4 linked regions of the Saccharomyces cerevisiae S288C genome follow. The gene in region 3 interacts genetically with the main gene of each other region. Each region holds a gene or a part of one and is shown on either strand. Other genes may lie near its edges.

What was found.
Region 1: mutations in RUD3 (region 3) and RVS161 together harm fitness more than expected from each alone (negative genetic interaction), as found in Saccharomyces cerevisiae (6 studies listed by BioGRID, with this or other methods).
Region 2: mutations in RUD3 (region 3) and SLA1 together harm fitness more than expected from each alone (negative genetic interaction), as found in Saccharomyces cerevisiae (5 studies listed by BioGRID).
Region 4: mutations in RUD3 (region 3) and GYP1 together harm fitness more than expected from each alone (negative genetic interaction), as found in Saccharomyces cerevisiae (7 studies listed by BioGRID, with this or other methods).

Annotation. Positions count from the first base shown.
Region 1 is NC_001135.5:130,183-133,175, forward strand, and holds RVS161 (amphiphysin-like protein RVS161), read right to left. Parts: upstream 1,361-2,993; coding exon 563-1,360; downstream 1-562. Other genes in the region: serine/threonine protein kinase SAT4, read left to right, coding at 1-99; ADY2 (Ady2p), read right to left, coding at 2,091-2,942. UniProt on the Saccharomyces cerevisiae protein: Component of a cytoskeletal structure that is required for the formation of endocytic vesicles at the plasma membrane level.
Region 2 is NC_001134.8:212,132-218,244, reverse strand, and holds SLA1 (cytoskeletal protein-binding protein SLA1), read left to right. Parts: upstream 1-1,878; coding exon 1,879-5,613; downstream 5,614-6,113. Other genes in the region: drug-responsive transcription factor PDR3, read right to left, coding at 1-775; LDB7 (Ldb7p), read left to right, coding at 1,116-1,658; HIR1 (Hir1p), read right to left, coding at 6,070-6,113. UniProt on the Saccharomyces cerevisiae protein: Component of the PAN1 actin cytoskeleton-regulatory complex required for the internalization of endosomes during actin-coupled endocytosis. The complex links the site of endocytosis to the cell membrane-associated actin cytoskeleton.
Region 3 is NC_001147.6:746,963-750,881, forward strand, and holds RUD3 (Rud3p), read right to left. Parts: upstream 2,018-3,919; coding exon 563-2,017; downstream 1-562. Other genes in the region: AIM41 (Aim41p), read right to left, coding at 1-320; RFC1 (replication factor C subunit 1), read left to right, coding at 2,339-3,919. UniProt on the Saccharomyces cerevisiae protein: Involved in the structural organization of the cis-Golgi and in vesicle targeting/fusion stages of ER to Golgi transport.
Region 4 is NC_001147.6:455,407-459,830, reverse strand, and holds GYP1 (GTPase-activating protein GYP1), read left to right. Parts: upstream 1-2,010; coding exon 2,011-3,924; downstream 3,925-4,424. Other genes in the region: NRT1 (nicotinamide riboside transporter), read left to right, coding at 1-351; VPS5 (sorting nexin 1), read right to left, coding at 4,036-4,424. UniProt on the Saccharomyces cerevisiae protein: GTPase-activating protein (GAP) that stimulates specifically the intrinsic GTPase activity of Ypt/Rab-type GTPases YPT1 and YPT7. Functions on the Golgi as a negative regulator of YPT1. Functions on the vacuole as a negative regulator of YPT7.

The sequences.
Region 1 (2,993 bases), on a different chromosome or scaffold from region 3:
GATCCCGTTCCGTACAGAAGAATTAACGGGAAACAAATTTTGAACAGTGAATGGGGAAGGGAGATAAAATGCTGCCATAATGGGCGCGCATTGAAATAAACGAGTACTTCACTTTCAAATATCACGATATTTTGGAACAATTCGGTATTTTTTACTTAATCTAGTACACTAAGGAATGCTTTGTTATCCGGCATTCGTATCTTATTCCTCGCTTCTATTGTTCTACTTTTATATCCCGTTTGGCTGATTACGGATCACGTTCAAATTGGTAAATCCCATTAATTAAAAAAGAATTGTAACCTTATTTAAAAAAAAAAATAGTACATAACAATAAAAAAAAAAAAGATAATAATTTTGAATTTATTGCTAGACATTCTTACGTTTATTGTGTTCATGTTAACAAAAACACATGCCCGCGGTTATTATCGCTTTTTAATTGCTTTCTTAAAAAGAGTCGGTTGGTCAGATAGAGCAGATAGTAAATTATAGTGCTATTTAGGTCTGTTAATTTAAATGAAAGAAACATAAATGACCGTAAAAAACTAAAGGCAAAAGCATTAATTTATTTTATCCCGAGCGCACAAATATCTAGGCTTGTCATTTGTCCTAATAGTTCTTCGATTTTAGTGTCTAATAACCCATTGGCATAGTCGTCTCTTGATTGTTGGTCCAAATATTGTTGAATCTGCGCTAAACGAGTGTAACCATCAGTACAGAACCTTAGCTGAATCTTGATTAAAGCTTCAAAACTTGGGTCAAAGTAAGGTACTCTTAATGAAACTAACTGTGGTAGTTCAGTTTTCAATTGGTTATTAAGATTTTCGAAAATATCTTTAGCTAAGCTCAATTCTTTTTCAGCCCTTGGCAGTTTAGAGGCATCTTTAGCAGGTTTGTCCACTAATCTACGAACTTTTGCCTTCGCAGCATCGAAGTCTTGTTTCTTATGGTCTCTCTTTTTTATGGCCTCCTCAATTTCTTTGAAATACGTCGAAAACTTTGTTATTGGATCTAGTACGGTTTCTCTTAAGGGCCCGTCTAATTGCTTAACAGTTTCGCTATCAAAATCTTGAACACATTGCAAATAATAGTTACCAACGTTGTAACCACCACCAGCAACATATTTTGAATCGTCATAGAGGTTAGAGATGACCTCGGCAATGGTAGTCTGTGATGCTGTCACAGCTCTCAATGAGTCCAAGAAACCTTTGGCTTCCTTTTGTAATGCCTCACCTGCTCTTTGAAGAACTTTATAACGACGTTCTTCCATGTCATACTCTTTATCAATGGTCTTGTCGACATTCTTAATTATCACACTGTGACCAGCTCTGTTGATAGCTTTCTTAAAACCTTCCCAACTCATCTTGTATCAGCTTTCTTCTGGCTTCTTATAATAGGATTTGTATAGTTTTCTATATCACAGCGTTTCCTTTTCTTCTCTCACGTCTGCCTGTTATTAAATTTGTTTTCCCTTTCTTTTAATTCGGATTCTCATAATTGTTCAAAATCCGCGCATTTGGATCGTCCAGCCCCTGCAGCGCCCAGTTCAGCCAACAAAAATTCATAGGGACGTAAAGGAAACGTTTCATGTCTGTTACAATGAAAAAGACAAGTCGAATCACATTATGAATGGCAAACGATAGACCTTTCGTTGCCTTTCAATTACATGATATTCGTGGCAACATCTTCTCCGCTAACCTAAAAGTTTTATCAGAAACATATATCTTATTTTTTCTGAAGTAAAATCAAAGTGCAGGGAAGACAAGTAAAGGAGTCAGCAAAAAAGTGAAGTAAACTTATATGTTAACTGTTTATAACCGTACCTTGCTTACATCATCTATATTTTCGTAATCATTTTTGTACATTGTTTATATCTTGTTTTGAAGTTTTAGCTTTGAAAAACATTTAATTGCGAAGTAACATAATGTTATTAATAGTGTACGACTGAAACAGCCATTCTATTTAAACATATAAAAGTACGATTAGTTGGTGTGGTTATATAAGTCATAAAATAATTATCATATTAAAAAATTGAAAAATAAAAAACTACTCTTTTTTATTTCAATAGTTCTCGTTATTAGTAGGTCGTGCTCTTAAAAGATTACCCTTTCAGTAGATGGTAATGGGAATGGACGAGCCAGTACATATGAATTCTGCTTTGTAGCAACACCTGCATATGCGTTGTACCAAGCAATGAAAGCAACAACAACTCCCAGGACACCACCAGCTCTTGTGACACCAAGTCTATTAGCAAAGTGACCAATAGACAACAGTAGGAAAGTTAATGCTAGTAAGAAGAACAACAAAAAGAACATAACAGTGGATTTCATGGTACAAACGGTTAAACCAAACGTAAAGATGGCCCACCCCAACAAATAAAATCCTAAAGCATTATTCAAATCAGATTCATTGTCTTCGTAAGCTTCCAAGATACCAAACCAAGGAATGTAAATTGCAGCGAAACTCAACCAAAACCCACCGTAAGAACATAATGCGGTACCACCAAAAGTATTTTCCAAAGCTATCTCCCAAATACCAGCAATCAATTGCACCAAACCACCATAAAACATAGCACAACCGACGACAACATTAGGAACAGTGATCCCTTGCGCTCTCGCATTGAACATGGACAGCACAAATGTCGTCAACGCGAAGGCTGAAAGACCTAAGGGCGCAGGATTAGCAAATTTGTGCACTGGAGCAGGAGCTAACCCTGGATTCAAGGTACCACCAAAGGCTTGGTATAAGTCGCTCTTCAAAAACTTTTGACGCCCAATATAGATATATTCATTGTTATCACCTCCAGTGTAAATCTTGCCCAACGAATCATGAGATGGACGTTCATCTTCTGCAACGCCATTAACGTCGTTATCATGGGAACTATAGTATCCTGCTGGTGCATTCTCCAAATCTGTGTTTCCGCTCGTTTGTTCCTTGTCAGACATATTATTTGTTTGTATATGAGTTGTTTTGTGGTTGTTTAGTTATATCTGTGT
Region 2 (6,113 bases), on a different chromosome or scaffold from region 3:
TTTTTTTAATTAAATATCCTATACCTCTTAGTGAAAAAGCCTGTATTGGAGAGAAAAGACCAAATACTTCATCTACTAGTGGAGTGGTGGCTAGAAATGAATCTGGACTTTGTGATTTAACCATTTGGTCTGTCCAAAAGGAGAACCTCGTCATGTGTATTTTATTTCTATACTTGTTGGTTAAAAGATACGTTTCTATCGATCTTTGTGGGCGAGGAGAGAAACTGGAAAGCTTGGGGTAGTTTATTTCGGGATTCCAACTGTTAATCAGGTTATTCAACTGCGACTTCGTTTTATCAATCAAGAGCTGAGTGTCATCACAAGGCGGCAGAGCGTACAAATTTGTCAGAATATTTTGATACGTAACCAGTTGATTTTGATATTTGGAATCATCTTTAAAGAGAATATTATTATCATTAGTAGGATTATTGGAAGTATCAGGAGCATGCGTCGCACTCGGAGAGACTGGAGTCTGTATCAGGTCGTTCATCAGTTTGAAGTAATATTGATTATCTAGCTTAATCGCAGTGTCCAGATGCTGTACATCTGCTGAAGCCTCTACATTGGCGTGGGAAGAGGGTGGAGCAACAGCTGTAGTAGGCAAAGACTGGGAACTATCCTCCTTCTGCGGTAAATGTTTTTTTAGGAATACACACGTACAATCGTAAGAAATGCAGTTGGTACATGGATATTTACCTGTGCATTTGATTTTCCTTTTTCTGCAATTGACACATGCTGTCGAAACTTTTGATCTAGTTGATTTCTTCACTTTCATTGCGGTCACGCAATAAGAAAAAATTAATAAAACTGCTGATGCAGTTGTCGCCTAAGACCTATGGTTGCTTTGGAAGGCTCCTGAAGACACAAACACAGGAAATACATAAATACATTAATGAGATTCTATAACAGTATCTACATATTTGCATTCTAAGACTCACTGTGATAGTTCATTTATTATTCCGCGGAAAGTCCGAGCGGCAGAGGAGGCAGCTCCGCGGAAACAAGGGCAGCGCCTGTTGTTCTGGAAGAAAATGAAAAGTGAAATGCAGTTGTCGTGGAAATAATGGCTTTACCTGAAAGCAGCAGAGCACGGTGTTAACAAGGAATAGCTGAGAATGAGTGGAAGTAATATGGGATACTATGACGTACTCGCAGGGCTTTCAGCGCTGGAAAAGTCATCCCAGGTAGTGTTCAGTGCGACTGAGCTTCAACAGCTTACGCAACAATCTCATGCTACCGACAAGGGCATAGAGGGCAGTGAGAATAGTAAAGCGAAGGTATCCAAGCCCAAAAGAGTAGCTGTACATGGTTACCTAGGCGGTAAAGTGTCGCTCGCCGATGCGGCACAGGTGGAGTATGAAGTAGGCCATTCACTGCTGGGCAGTTATGTGCCACGCCAGCAGTTGGAAGCCCTGTCAAGTGTCGACTTTTCGCACCATTTCCACCGCACATTAGAATGCAAAGCTGCTCTAGAGACACACGATGTTTTTCTTGCCGGCGCAGGACAATTGTCTCTACCCTTCCAATCACACATAGAGAGCCCCAGGAATAGCGAGGCTAAAAGGAAAAGAAAAGTGATAATATGCAAACGGTGTCAATCACGATTTATAGGTTCCCATAGGCGGTCTCAACTTAGAGAACATGCCTGCGTAGATTAAACCATGTAATTGATAGAGGTAGAATGTTGCTTCGTAGAAAGTGACTATACGATTCCTAAAAGGGGCTTCCTTCCACTCATGCGAAATCGAGATACATCAGACGAAAACAGAACGAATATTTAGCGCATATATACTATGTATATCTATTGCAATCCTAAAAGAAGGGATAGTGTAACATAGCCAAGGCGACAGAGTGTGTTATATACAAAAGAGCTAGAGTATGACTGTGTTTCTGGGCATCTATAGGGCCGTCTATGCCTATGAGCCGCAGACACCAGAAGAACTGGCCATCCAAGAAGACGATCTGTTGTACCTCTTACAGAAGTCAGACATTGACGATTGGTGGACAGTAAAGAAAAGAGTCATTGGTTCCGATAGCGAAGAACCGGTGGGTCTAGTGCCCTCCACTTACATTGAAGAAGCTCCTGTTTTGAAGAAGGTAAGAGCCATTTATGATTATGAACAGGTGCAAAATGCTGATGAAGAATTGACGTTTCATGAAAATGACGTTTTTGATGTATTCGATGATAAAGATGCTGATTGGCTGTTGGTTAAGTCTACCGTTTCCAATGAATTCGGCTTCATTCCAGGCAATTACGTCGAACCAGAGAATGGGTCCACTTCCAAGCAGGAACAGGCTCCCGCTGCCGCTGAAGCTCCTGCAGCTACTCCTGCAGCCGCTCCTGCTTCTGCTGCCGTACTACCCACCAACTTTTTACCACCTCCTCAACACAATGATAGAGCTCGTATGATGCAAAGTAAAGAAGACCAAGCTCCAGATGAGGATGAAGAGGGCCCTCCTCCTGCCATGCCTGCAAGACCAACGGCTACTACCGAAACTACTGATGCCACCGCTGCGGCTGTTCGATCTCGTACAAGACTATCATACAGCGATAACGATAATGACGATGAAGAGGATGATTACTATTACAACAGCAACAGCAACAACGTTGGAAATCACGAATACAATACAGAGTATCACTCTTGGAACGTTACCGAAATCGAGGGAAGGAAAAAGAAGAAGGCCAAGCTATCAATCGGTAACAACAAGATAAACTTCATACCCCAAAAGGGGACTCCTCATGAGTGGTCAATTGATAAATTGGTCTCTTATGATAACGAAAAGAAACACATGTTCTTGGAATTTGTTGATCCATATAGAAGCCTTGAATTACACACTGGTAATACCACCACATGTGAAGAGATCATGAACATTATTGGTGAATATAAAGGTGCTTCCCGTGATCCTGGGTTGAGAGAAGTCGAAATGGCTTCCAAATCCAAAAAGAGAGGTATTGTTCAATATGACTTCATGGCTGAATCACAGGACGAATTAACCATAAAATCAGGCGATAAAGTCTACATTTTAGATGATAAAAAATCTAAGGACTGGTGGATGTGCCAACTGGTTGATTCAGGGAAAAGCGGTCTCGTTCCTGCACAGTTTATTGAGCCTGTTCGTGACAAAAAACATACTGAATCTACAGCAAGCGGTATCATCAAGTCTATCAAGAAAAACTTCACCAAATCTCCATCTAGGTCGAGATCTAGATCAAGATCTAAATCCAATGCCAATGCCAGTTGGAAAGATGATGAACTACAAAACGATGTTGTAGGTAGTGCTGCCGGTAAAAGGTCAAGAAAAAGTTCATTGTCCTCTCACAAAAAAAACTCTTCGGCGACCAAAGATTTCCCCAATCCAAAAAAATCGCGTCTATGGGTTGATAGAAGTGGTACTTTCAAAGTGGATGCAGAATTCATTGGATGTGCTAAGGGGAAAATCCACTTGCACAAGGCTAATGGTGTCAAGATTGCTGTCGCCGCTGATAAACTATCCAATGAAGATTTAGCGTATGTGGAAAAAATTACTGGGTTCTCCTTAGAGAAATTTAAGGCGAATGATGGGTCTAGTTCCCGTGGCACTGATTCAAGAGACTCTGAAAGAGAAAGAAGAAGGAGATTGAAGGAGCAGGAGGAAAAAGAACGCGATAGGAGATTGAAAGAGCGTGAATTATACGAATTGAAAAAAGCCAGAGAACTCCTAGATGAAGAAAGATCAAGGTTGCAAGAAAAGGAATTGCCTCCAATAAAACCACCAAGACCAACCTCTACTACCTCCGTTCCAAATACGACGTCCGTACCACCAGCCGAAAGCAGCAATAACAACAACTCCAGTAACAAATATGATTGGTTCGAATTTTTCTTGAATTGCGGCGTTGATGTAAGCAATTGTCAAAGATATACAATAAATTTTGATAGAGAACAGCTTACTGAAGACATGATGCCTGACATCAATAACTCAATGTTAAGAACCTTGGGTCTGCGCGAAGGTGATATTGTTAGAGTAATGAAACATCTTGACAAGAAATTTGGAAGAGAAAATATTGCATCAATTCCTACAAATGCCACTGGAAATATGTTTTCACAACCTGATGGTTCATTGAACGTTGCTACAAGTCCGGAAACCTCACTGCCTCAGCAATTGTTGCCACAAACAACAAGTCCTGCTCAAACAGCTCCTTCCACATCAGCTGAGACAGATGATGCTTGGACTGTTAAACCGGCTTCTAAGTCTGAATCTAATTTACTCTCTAAGAAATCAGAATTTACTGGTTCCATGCAGGATTTATTAGACTTGCAACCTTTAGAACCTAAAAAGGCAGCTGCCTCGACACCTGAACCAAACCTAAAAGATTTGGAACCCGTGAAAACTGGCGGCACCACTGTTCCTGCTGCTCCGGTTTCATCTGCTCCGGTTTCATCTGCTCCCGCTCCATTGGATCCATTCAAAACCGGTGGCAACAATATCTTACCCTTATCTACTGGCTTTGTGATGATGCCAATGATTACTGGGGGCGATATGCTGCCTATGCAAAGAACCGGCGGCTTCGTTGTACCACAAACAACTTTTGGTATGCAATCGCAAGTTACTGGTGGTATCCTACCTGTTCAAAAGACAGGAAATGGGTTAATTCCTATCTCTAACACTGGCGGCGCAATGATGCCACAAACTACGTTCGGCGCAGCAGCTACCGTCTTACCTCTGCAAAAAACTGGAGGTGGCCTAATACCAATTGCCACCACAGGAGGTGCGCAATTCCCGCAAACTTCATTCAATGTTCAGGGGCAACAACAACTTCCAACAGGTTCAATATTACCTGTCCAAAAAACTGCTAATGGATTAATTTCAGCTAATACTGGTGTCTCAATGCCAACTGTACAAAGAACAGGCGGCACTATGATTCCACAAACATCATTTGGCGTTTCACAGCAATTAACAGGTGGTGCAATGATGACCCAACCTCAAAATACAGGGAGTGCCATGATGCCTCAAACATCCTTCAATGCTGTACCACAAATTACTGGAGGAGCAATGATGCCTCAAACGTCCTTCAATGCTTTACCACAAGTTACAGGGGGAGCAATGATGCCTTTGCAGAGAACTGGTGGTGCTTTGAATACATTTAATACTGGAGGCGCCATGATTCCCCAGACTTCGTTCAGCTCTCAAGCTCAAAACACTGGCGGGTTCCGGCCGCAATCCCAATTCGGTTTGACTTTACAAAAAACCGGAGGTATTGCGCCATTAAACCAGAACCAGTTCACTGGTGGAGCCATGAATACTTTAAGTACAGGGGGCGTTCTTCAACAACAGCAACCACAAACGATGAATACCTTCAATACTGGTGGTGTTATGCAAGAGCTCCAAATGATGACTACTTTCAATACTGGTGGTGCTATGCAACAACCACAGATGATGAACACATTCAACACCGATGGAATTATGCAACAACCACAGATGATGAACACTTTTAACACTGGGGGTGCTATGCAACAACCACAACAACAAGCATTACAGAACCAACCTACTGGATTTGGGTTTGGTAATGGACCTCAACAATCAAGGCAAGCCAACATATTCAATGCTACTGCATCAAATCCGTTTGGATTCTAGATTAATGTATTTTAAGATTTTATAGGATAATAACTAAAACAAGCTATATGAAATAGTTTCGTACAATCTGTGCTTATACTCGTGAAAATGGCAAATTTCTCTTTTTTTTTTTATAAGTAGTTATGTATGTATTTTACTAATTTTAATATAATCGTTCTCAGTCCCAATAATGTTTTATTGTCATATTATACTAAAGTTGAAATGGTGGAGTCGACCCTAAGAATTTATTTCTTCCAGACAGAGGAGGTGTGTAGTCACTTTGGTTCCACTAATAGACAACCGACATTAAAATACTTCTGATCTGTGCCTTCAGAAAGCTTCATCTGTAACCGCTTGTCTGTATGAGTCGTTTCAAATGGTAACCACTTAAACAATGCGAATACTACAATGATATTTATAAAATATAGACGTAATTATGAGGGAAAAAACTTGTCCAAAGGAAGGGGTATAAGCTTATTATTTATATAACGACCAACAACCCAGATCCTTAGTCCATTTAT
Region 3 (3,919 bases):
CCTTGCTCTTTGGCCACCAGATCGTCCCTCTTGTTAGCAAGGAACTCATTGATCGAGTCCTTTCTTTGAGATATTAACTTGGAGTACATGTCGTACAGGGAGTACTCATCAGCGCTCTTCCCTTTTAAAGCAATTTCTTTGTTTTTTATGGCAGATAACATATTTCTGATTGCTGTCTTCTTCATCTCATCCTTGGCAATCATAGCCTTTTTCAAATCTCCTTTCAATAGGCTGACTGCAGCCGTGTAGGCTGGAGAACTGTTATAACGAATGAAGGTTAGTCTATTTGAAACAAGTGGCCTAATTGATTGTCTGAACATCTTGGAATAGTGTTATTTGCTGTATTCCCCAACTTTATCCCAAAGTCTTTTTTCTCCAGTTCATTACTTCTGTAAAAAATGTTGCAGATCCTTTTTCTTCCCTTTAATTTTGAGTCCTTCCCCCCGAAAAGTCCCAGATGCCGGGTAGATGTGATTTATATCATTTATCGTTTATAGAGTATAAATTGGGTGATGCTACACTAAGTACGTATGCTCTTCTGAACTAGACTTAGTTTGCCCGATTAGTCTTTCTCACTCTCTTTCTCGAGGTAGTTGGTCCAAAGCGATACAAAGCTTTCCGTTCTCGATACAGCGCTTGAATTCTTAGACTCATTATTCGAGATCAAGCCGGCCTGTTGTTTCTTATCTTCATCCCAGTTTAAGAAATTGGACAGTAATTCAAGAACTTCAAACTTTCTTGGGTCTGCTCTGGGTATGGACACGAAAGATATCAATAGATTGGATATCAGTTCTTTATCAACGGATTCAGAATCGCTTGATTTCTTCAACATGGCCAGTGCCTTTGTTAAATGCTCATTTAGTATAATGGCTTCGTGACGTAGTTTTCCGATCTGTAAGATGTGCTGCTTAGATTCTTCCTCATATTTTTCCTTCATAGAGGCGTCCTCCTTCATGGCTTCTAGCTGTTTTTTCATGCTTTCTAAAGCTTCTGTGTCATTGTTGTGCGTTTCTATCTCCGTGTCAAGTTGGGATCGTAAAGATTTGACTTCCTGGTCTCTCTCTCTAGCCTCTTCTTCCCTTTTGTTGTCAACTTCTTCTATCTTCAATTCCAGATCATTTAGAGAATTCTTTAATACTGCTTTCTCCTTTTCATGGGATTCCAAAGCCTGTCTCAATTCATCTCTTTCTGTTCTCAAGTCAGATATATCTTGTTTATTATTTTCTAAGATTATCATGAGTTCCTGAACTTGGAGATTTAATTGATCTTTTTCCTTCCTGTAAGTGTTAAGTTCCTTACTATGTTTTTCAATTATGTCGTGTTTTTCATCTTCCAAAGCTTCTATCCTTGATTCGTATTCCAAAAAAACCTCTTCTGTACTTTCTTGCTCCTTTTCTAGGTTTTCTAACTCTGTATTTAGGGTCACAATCGTGGATTGTAATTCAGAGTTTTCGGTCTTGGTAGCTTCAAGTTTCTTCTTCAATTTCAGATTTTGTGATTCATATTCAGTAAGCTGCTCCTGCACTTCCTCTAATTGTTTTTGTGCTTCTTTCATCTTATTAAAAATTGATTTCATAGAAGATATCTTGCTCAATAATGTGTCATACTGTGTTTTGAATTCGTCTCTTTCCTTAATAACATTTGCTAGTTCATTTTTGAAGTCTTCATTAGGCGTTTCTTGATCCTTCTTGTGGCTTAGTTCCAATTTTAAACGTTCAATTTCTTCCCTTAGTTCCTTCATCTCATCACCAGCCTTTTTGTCCTCTAAAGGATTTATGGTGTCTACAGTCAGGCCGTCATTTACTTTTTGTTTGTCTACTCCTTCAGAGAGATCTTTCCCCTCATCGTCCGGGCTTGCCACGATACCATCAGCCTCTGGATCTGTGGACATTTTTGGAGGAACGGTGACGTTTACAGAATTGATGATTTCTTCAGGTTTATTGACGGTTTCATCAACGTCCTCCACATGAGGATGACTCTTGGCCTTCTTACCTGTTTTCTTCTTATTTTTACCCATTCTAATTAAAAAAAATGCAATTGTTTGAGGGGATCAAGTGGAAAGTATACACAAGCATCTACTATATAGCTGTTTATACAAGATTTTCTTGTTCTTCATGAATGGTCTTTCTGTTTGTTTCCATTTTTCGTATCGAAATGAGCACGAAATTCAAAAAGAAGTACTGAAAAAAAAATCAACATGAGAAGGAACAGCCGATCTCTCAGCGAAAACAGTGGCTTCGTTGAATACGCTGCTTGATCCTTACACAATAAGGAATTGGGTATCTCGCAGTTAATTTTATAACTTCAAGTCACTTCATAATAAACTAAGCTGAAGAAAATGGTCAATATTTCTGATTTCTTTGGTAAAAATAAGAAATCCGTAAGATCGTCAACATCCAGACCTACGAGACAGGTGGGTTCGTCTAAACCAGAAGTTATCGACTTAGATACTGAATCTGACCAAGAATCAACCAATAAAACACCAAAGAAGATGCCTGTAAGTAATGTAATTGATGTATCAGAGACACCTGAAGGAGAAAAAAAGCTACCTCTTCCCGCTAAGAGGAAGGCCTCTTCACCAACTGTAAAGCCAGCAAGTTCAAAAAAAACCAAACCCTCCTCTAAAAGTTCAGACTCGGCTTCGAATATTACGGCTCAAGATGTACTAGATAAGATTCCATCCTTGGATCTGTCAAATGTTCATGTGAAAGAGAATGCTAAATTTGATTTCAAAAGCGCAAATTCAAATGCGGATCCAGATGAAATTGTTTCTGAAATAGGTAGTTTTCCAGAAGGAAAGCCAAATTGTTTATTAGGTCTAACAATTGTCTTCACAGGTGTTCTGCCAACCTTGGAGCGTGGTGCATCGGAAGCTTTAGCGAAAAGATACGGAGCAAGGGTTACTAAATCAATTTCAAGCAAAACTTCTGTAGTAGTCTTAGGTGATGAAGCAGGGCCAAAGAAACTAGAAAAAATCAAGCAATTGAAAATCAAAGCCATAGACGAAGAAGGCTTTAAGCAATTAATTGCTGGGATGCCTGCTGAAGGTGGTGACGGGGAAGCTGCCGAAAAAGCACGTCGAAAATTAGAAGAACAGCATAATATTGCTACCAAAGAAGCAGAATTGCTTGTTAAGAAAGAAGAGGAAAGGTCGAAGAAGCTTGCAGCCACTAGAGTTTCTGGTGGCCATCTGGAGAGAGACAATGTGGTTAGGGAAGAAGATAAATTGTGGACAGTAAAGTACGCACCAACGAATCTACAACAGGTCTGTGGTAACAAAGGAAGTGTAATGAAATTAAAAAACTGGTTGGCTAATTGGGAAAATTCAAAGAAAAATAGTTTTAAACATGCTGGTAAAGATGGCTCTGGTGTTTTCAGGGCTGCAATGTTATACGGTCCTCCTGGTATTGGGAAGACAACTGCTGCTCATTTAGTTGCACAAGAGCTTGGGTATGACATTCTTGAACAAAACGCTTCTGATGTTCGCTCTAAAACTTTACTTAATGCCGGTGTTAAAAACGCTCTTGATAACATGTCTGTAGTGGGATATTTCAAACACAACGAAGAAGCTCAAAATTTGAACGGGAAACATTTTGTCATTATCATGGATGAAGTTGATGGTATGAGCGGAGGCGATAGGGGGGGAGTTGGCCAGCTGGCACAGTTTTGTCGTAAGACGTCAACTCCATTGATTCTAATTTGTAATGAACGTAATTTACCAAAAATGAGACCATTCGATAGAGTATGTCTTGATATCCAATTTAGAAGACCTGATGCTAACAGTATCAAATCAAGATTAATGACAATTGCGATCAGAGAAAAGTTCAAACTTGATCCAAATGTCATTGATAGGTTGATACAGACTACAAGAGGTGATATCCGCCAGGTTATTAATCTACTTTCAACGATATCTACGACT
Region 4 (4,424 bases), 290 kb from region 3:
GATTCTTTCTTCTCCTTTTTGATTTCTTTTTTCGTTTACTGGGGGCTATGTGTCTTCTTCCCATTCAAAATTACTGTTAGACATGATGACAAAGATTACTATGGTGCATTTACCGACGAAGAAGCGAGAAAGAAGGGCATGATTCCATACAGTGAAATTTCTGAGGAAGAAATCCGTGCTTACACGTTAGGCGAATGCTACACAACTGGACACGAATACAAACCTGAGAGTTCTGATAACGAATCACCTGAATTGATCAAAACTAGCTCAGAAAACACTAACGTATTTGAAATCGTTCACCAAAAGGATGATGAAAAGCACTCCTTTAGTACCACTCAACAAGTTGTCTGATGACAAAGAATCCGATAAAATGAAGATCTCAAATATACAAAGAGGAAACTTCAACGCTTCATTTGAAAATCTGTACAGATCTTACAATTTGGGAATACTACCAGATCGATCCTCAGCTGCAAATACTTTACTGTCAAGTATGTCTATGGTGACAAATATCGGCATTATTGTGTATGGCTCAATAATTTTATAAAAAAAGGAACTATTGGTTCTTAGTATTTTCTTGCTAGAAGACATATTCTTACCAATCCTTTCATAAGCTAATTATGCCATCCATATAGCAAGAGAATCCGGTGGGGGCGCCATGCCTATCCGGCGGCAACATTATTACTCTGGTATACGGGCGTAACTCCATAATATGCCACCACTTACCTTTAACATGTTCATGGTAGGTACCCCACCCAGCCATAAGGAAATTTTCAAAGGCGTTGGATCAAAAAATAGGCCTTTATTTCATCGCGTGATTGAGGAGCATAACATGTTTAGTGAAGGTTTCTTTTGGAAAACTTCAGTCGCTCATTATTAGAACCAGGGAGGTCCAGGCTTTGCTGGTGGGAGAGAAAGCTTATGAAGCTGGGGTTGCAGATTTGTCGATTGGTCGCCAGTACACAGTTTTAAAAAGTCAGAGAATGTAGAGAAGTATGGATCTTTGAAACCCTTTTATTTTATTTTACTTTTTTTAGAATGACCTGTTCCCGACACTATGTAAGATCTAGCTTTTAACATATTATGGAAACCTGAAATGTAAAATCTGAATTTTTGTATATGTGTTTATATTTGGGTAGTTCTTTTGAGGAAAGCATGCATAGACTTGCTGTACGAACTTTATGTGACTTGTAGTGACGCTGTTTCATGAGACTTTAGCCCTTTGAACATATTATCATATCTCAGCTTGAAATACTATAGATTTACTTTTGCAGCCATTTCTTGGTGCTCCAAGGTTGTGCGTATCTATTACTTAATTTCTGTCCTTGCCAAGTTTTGCAGCAGGGCGGTCACAAGACTCCTCTGCCGTCATTCCTTAGTCCTTCGGGAACACACTTATTTATGTATTTGTATTCTACAATTCTACGGTGCACAAGGGTTGGGCACTGTTGAGCTCAGCACGCAACTATTGCTGGCATGAAGATAAGATTGATTTTTGGAAGAATAAGCTTGTGGAAGTTACCTGTCTCTTATTTTTTTTTCCTTTTTGCACTTTTTTTTGGTGATCACTTAGGTAACAATCTATAACACAGCAGTATGAACCCACTAGTTAACCATTCTGCGCCGATGGTATACCTTTTTCATTGCTTAATTGTCTGTGAGAGGCTTGATAAGCTAAGGCTCATGGCGATAAATCCACGATGAACTCGTTTAATGCAAAATATAGGTCGCGGCTTGCCGGGTACCAAGTCGCAACAAAGCTCCCCGAATTGTTTCGCCCATTCATCTGACAGGACAGAATGCCAAACATATGATGCATGATGCAGCAAAGAGCACAGTAATCACTATTTTCTGCATATCATATAGCCAGATTGCTATAGTGTTTGGCTTTTGTCCTGCTGTTAATTGTTTTGTTTTCTTTCTATTTTTATAACTATTATTGGAGAGTAGATCAAGGATACAAATAACAACAACAACCACCAATACCGACCACTTAATAAAAGTAACCATATAATGGGTGTGAGATCCGCTGCAAAGGAAATGCACGAACGGGACCATAATTCGGACAGTTCCAGTTTAGTAACTTCCCTGATGAAATCTTGGAGGATATCGTCGGCTTCTTCCTCCAAGAAGCCATCGTTATACAAAATGAATACTACTGAATCTACTAGTTTACCCTCGGGTTATGCTTCCTCGGCAGATAGAGATCGGAGAACCAGTGACGGTAATTTTGAAGCTATGGCAAAGCAACAAGCAAGCACTAGACGTACCTCGAATTCCTATTCACCTCTACGATATGTAAACCCCACTCTAAGCACTGCAAGTAACGAAAGTCCCCGGCCTGCTTTACTCTTACGTCAGCATCACCAGCGTCATCACCACCATCAACAACCCCGCCATAGCAGTAGTGGTAGTGTAGGCAACAATTGCAGTAACAGTACAGAGCCTAACAAAAAGGGTGATCGATATTTCAAAGACTTAGATGAGGATTGGAGTGCTGTTATTGACGATTATAATATGCCTATTCCTATACTTACTAACGGTGGATTTGGTACACCTGTAGCTCCAACGAGAACTTTGTCGCGAAAATCCACTTCTTCTTCCATCAATTCGATTTCGAATATGGGGACCTCCGCAGTACGGAATTCTTCCTCCTCTTTTACATACCCTCAATTACCACAGCTGCAAAAAGAGAAAACAAATGATTCCAAGAAAACTCAGTTGGAAATCGAAAACGAACGGGATGTTCAAGAATTAAACTCCATCATCCAGCGCATTTCTAAATTTGACAATATTTTGAAAGATAAGACAATCATAAATCAACAGGATCTGCGCCAGATCAGTTGGAATGGTATCCCAAAAATACACAGGCCTGTTGTTTGGAAATTATTAATAGGTTATTTGCCTGTGAACACCAAGAGACAGGAGGGTTTCTTACAAAGGAAGAGGAAAGAATATAGGGATAGTCTGAAACATACCTTTTCTGACCAGCACTCAAGAGATATCCCAACTTGGCATCAGATAGAGATAGATATACCGAGAACAAATCCCCACATTCCCCTCTACCAGTTCAAATCCGTACAGAACAGTTTACAACGAATACTATATCTTTGGGCAATCAGGCATCCTGCTAGCGGATATGTGCAAGGTATTAATGATTTAGTTACACCATTTTTCGAGACTTTTCTTACCGAATATCTGCCGCCTTCACAAATAGATGATGTAGAGATAAAGGACCCCTCTACTTATATGGTAGATGAACAGATTACAGATTTAGAAGCGGACACGTTTTGGTGTCTTACCAAATTGCTCGAACAAATTACCGATAACTATATTCACGGACAACCAGGCATATTAAGACAAGTGAAGAATTTGAGTCAGCTAGTGAAACGAATTGATGCTGATCTATATAACCATTTTCAAAATGAACATGTGGAGTTTATACAGTTTGCATTCAGATGGATGAATTGCCTTTTGATGAGAGAATTTCAAATGGGTACAGTAATAAGGATGTGGGACACATATTTATCTGAAACTTCACAAGAGGTCACTTCTTCTTATTCTATGTCGTCCAATGACATTAAACCTCCTGTTACTCCAACAGAACCTCGAGTGGCAAGTTTTGTTACACCAACAAAAGATTTCCAATCTCCCACCACAGCTCTTTCTAATATGACACCAAACAATGCTGTTGAAGACAGTGGAAAAATGAGACAGTCTTCGTTGAATGAGTTTCATGTGTTTGTTTGTGCTGCATTCCTCATCAAGTGGAGTGACCAGCTAATGGAAATGGATTTCCAAGAAACTATAACTTTCTTACAGAACCCTCCTACAAAGGACTGGACTGAAACGGATATTGAAATGCTTCTGAGCGAAGCCTTTATTTGGCAATCTCTTTACAAAGATGCTACGTCGCACTGGCTGTAAACGGACCTATTCATTTTACTTACTGTATAGTATGTAATAATATAAAACAAAAATCTCCTAATTCATAAATCCTGAGGAACGTGACACATAAAGTTATTGTATACAGATCATCTAAAGATTGGTTTGGTAGAATGTCTCCCAAAGCTCGATGCATTCTTTTTGAGATTCAATGGCCGCTTCTAGTGATATTTCCATGCCGTTTCGGAATTCCCGAATTTTATCAGTAGAGAAACCTTGGAATTCATCTTTTATTTTATCTCCTACCGCTTGCCATTGTTTTTTTGTAAGGTTATACCTTCTCTCCAATGTTTGAAATTCCTTTCTCATTTCTCTGAATTTTTCTGAATGAATATTTTGACCCAATTTGCCCAATTGTGAGTGTTTCTTATTCATGTCATTTTCTATTACTACCAAGAAATACCCCAATTTGGATCTCTGATTGAAAATTGCTTTTACGCTTGCCAATGACCTAATATAGTCGTCCAGCATCACACCCATCG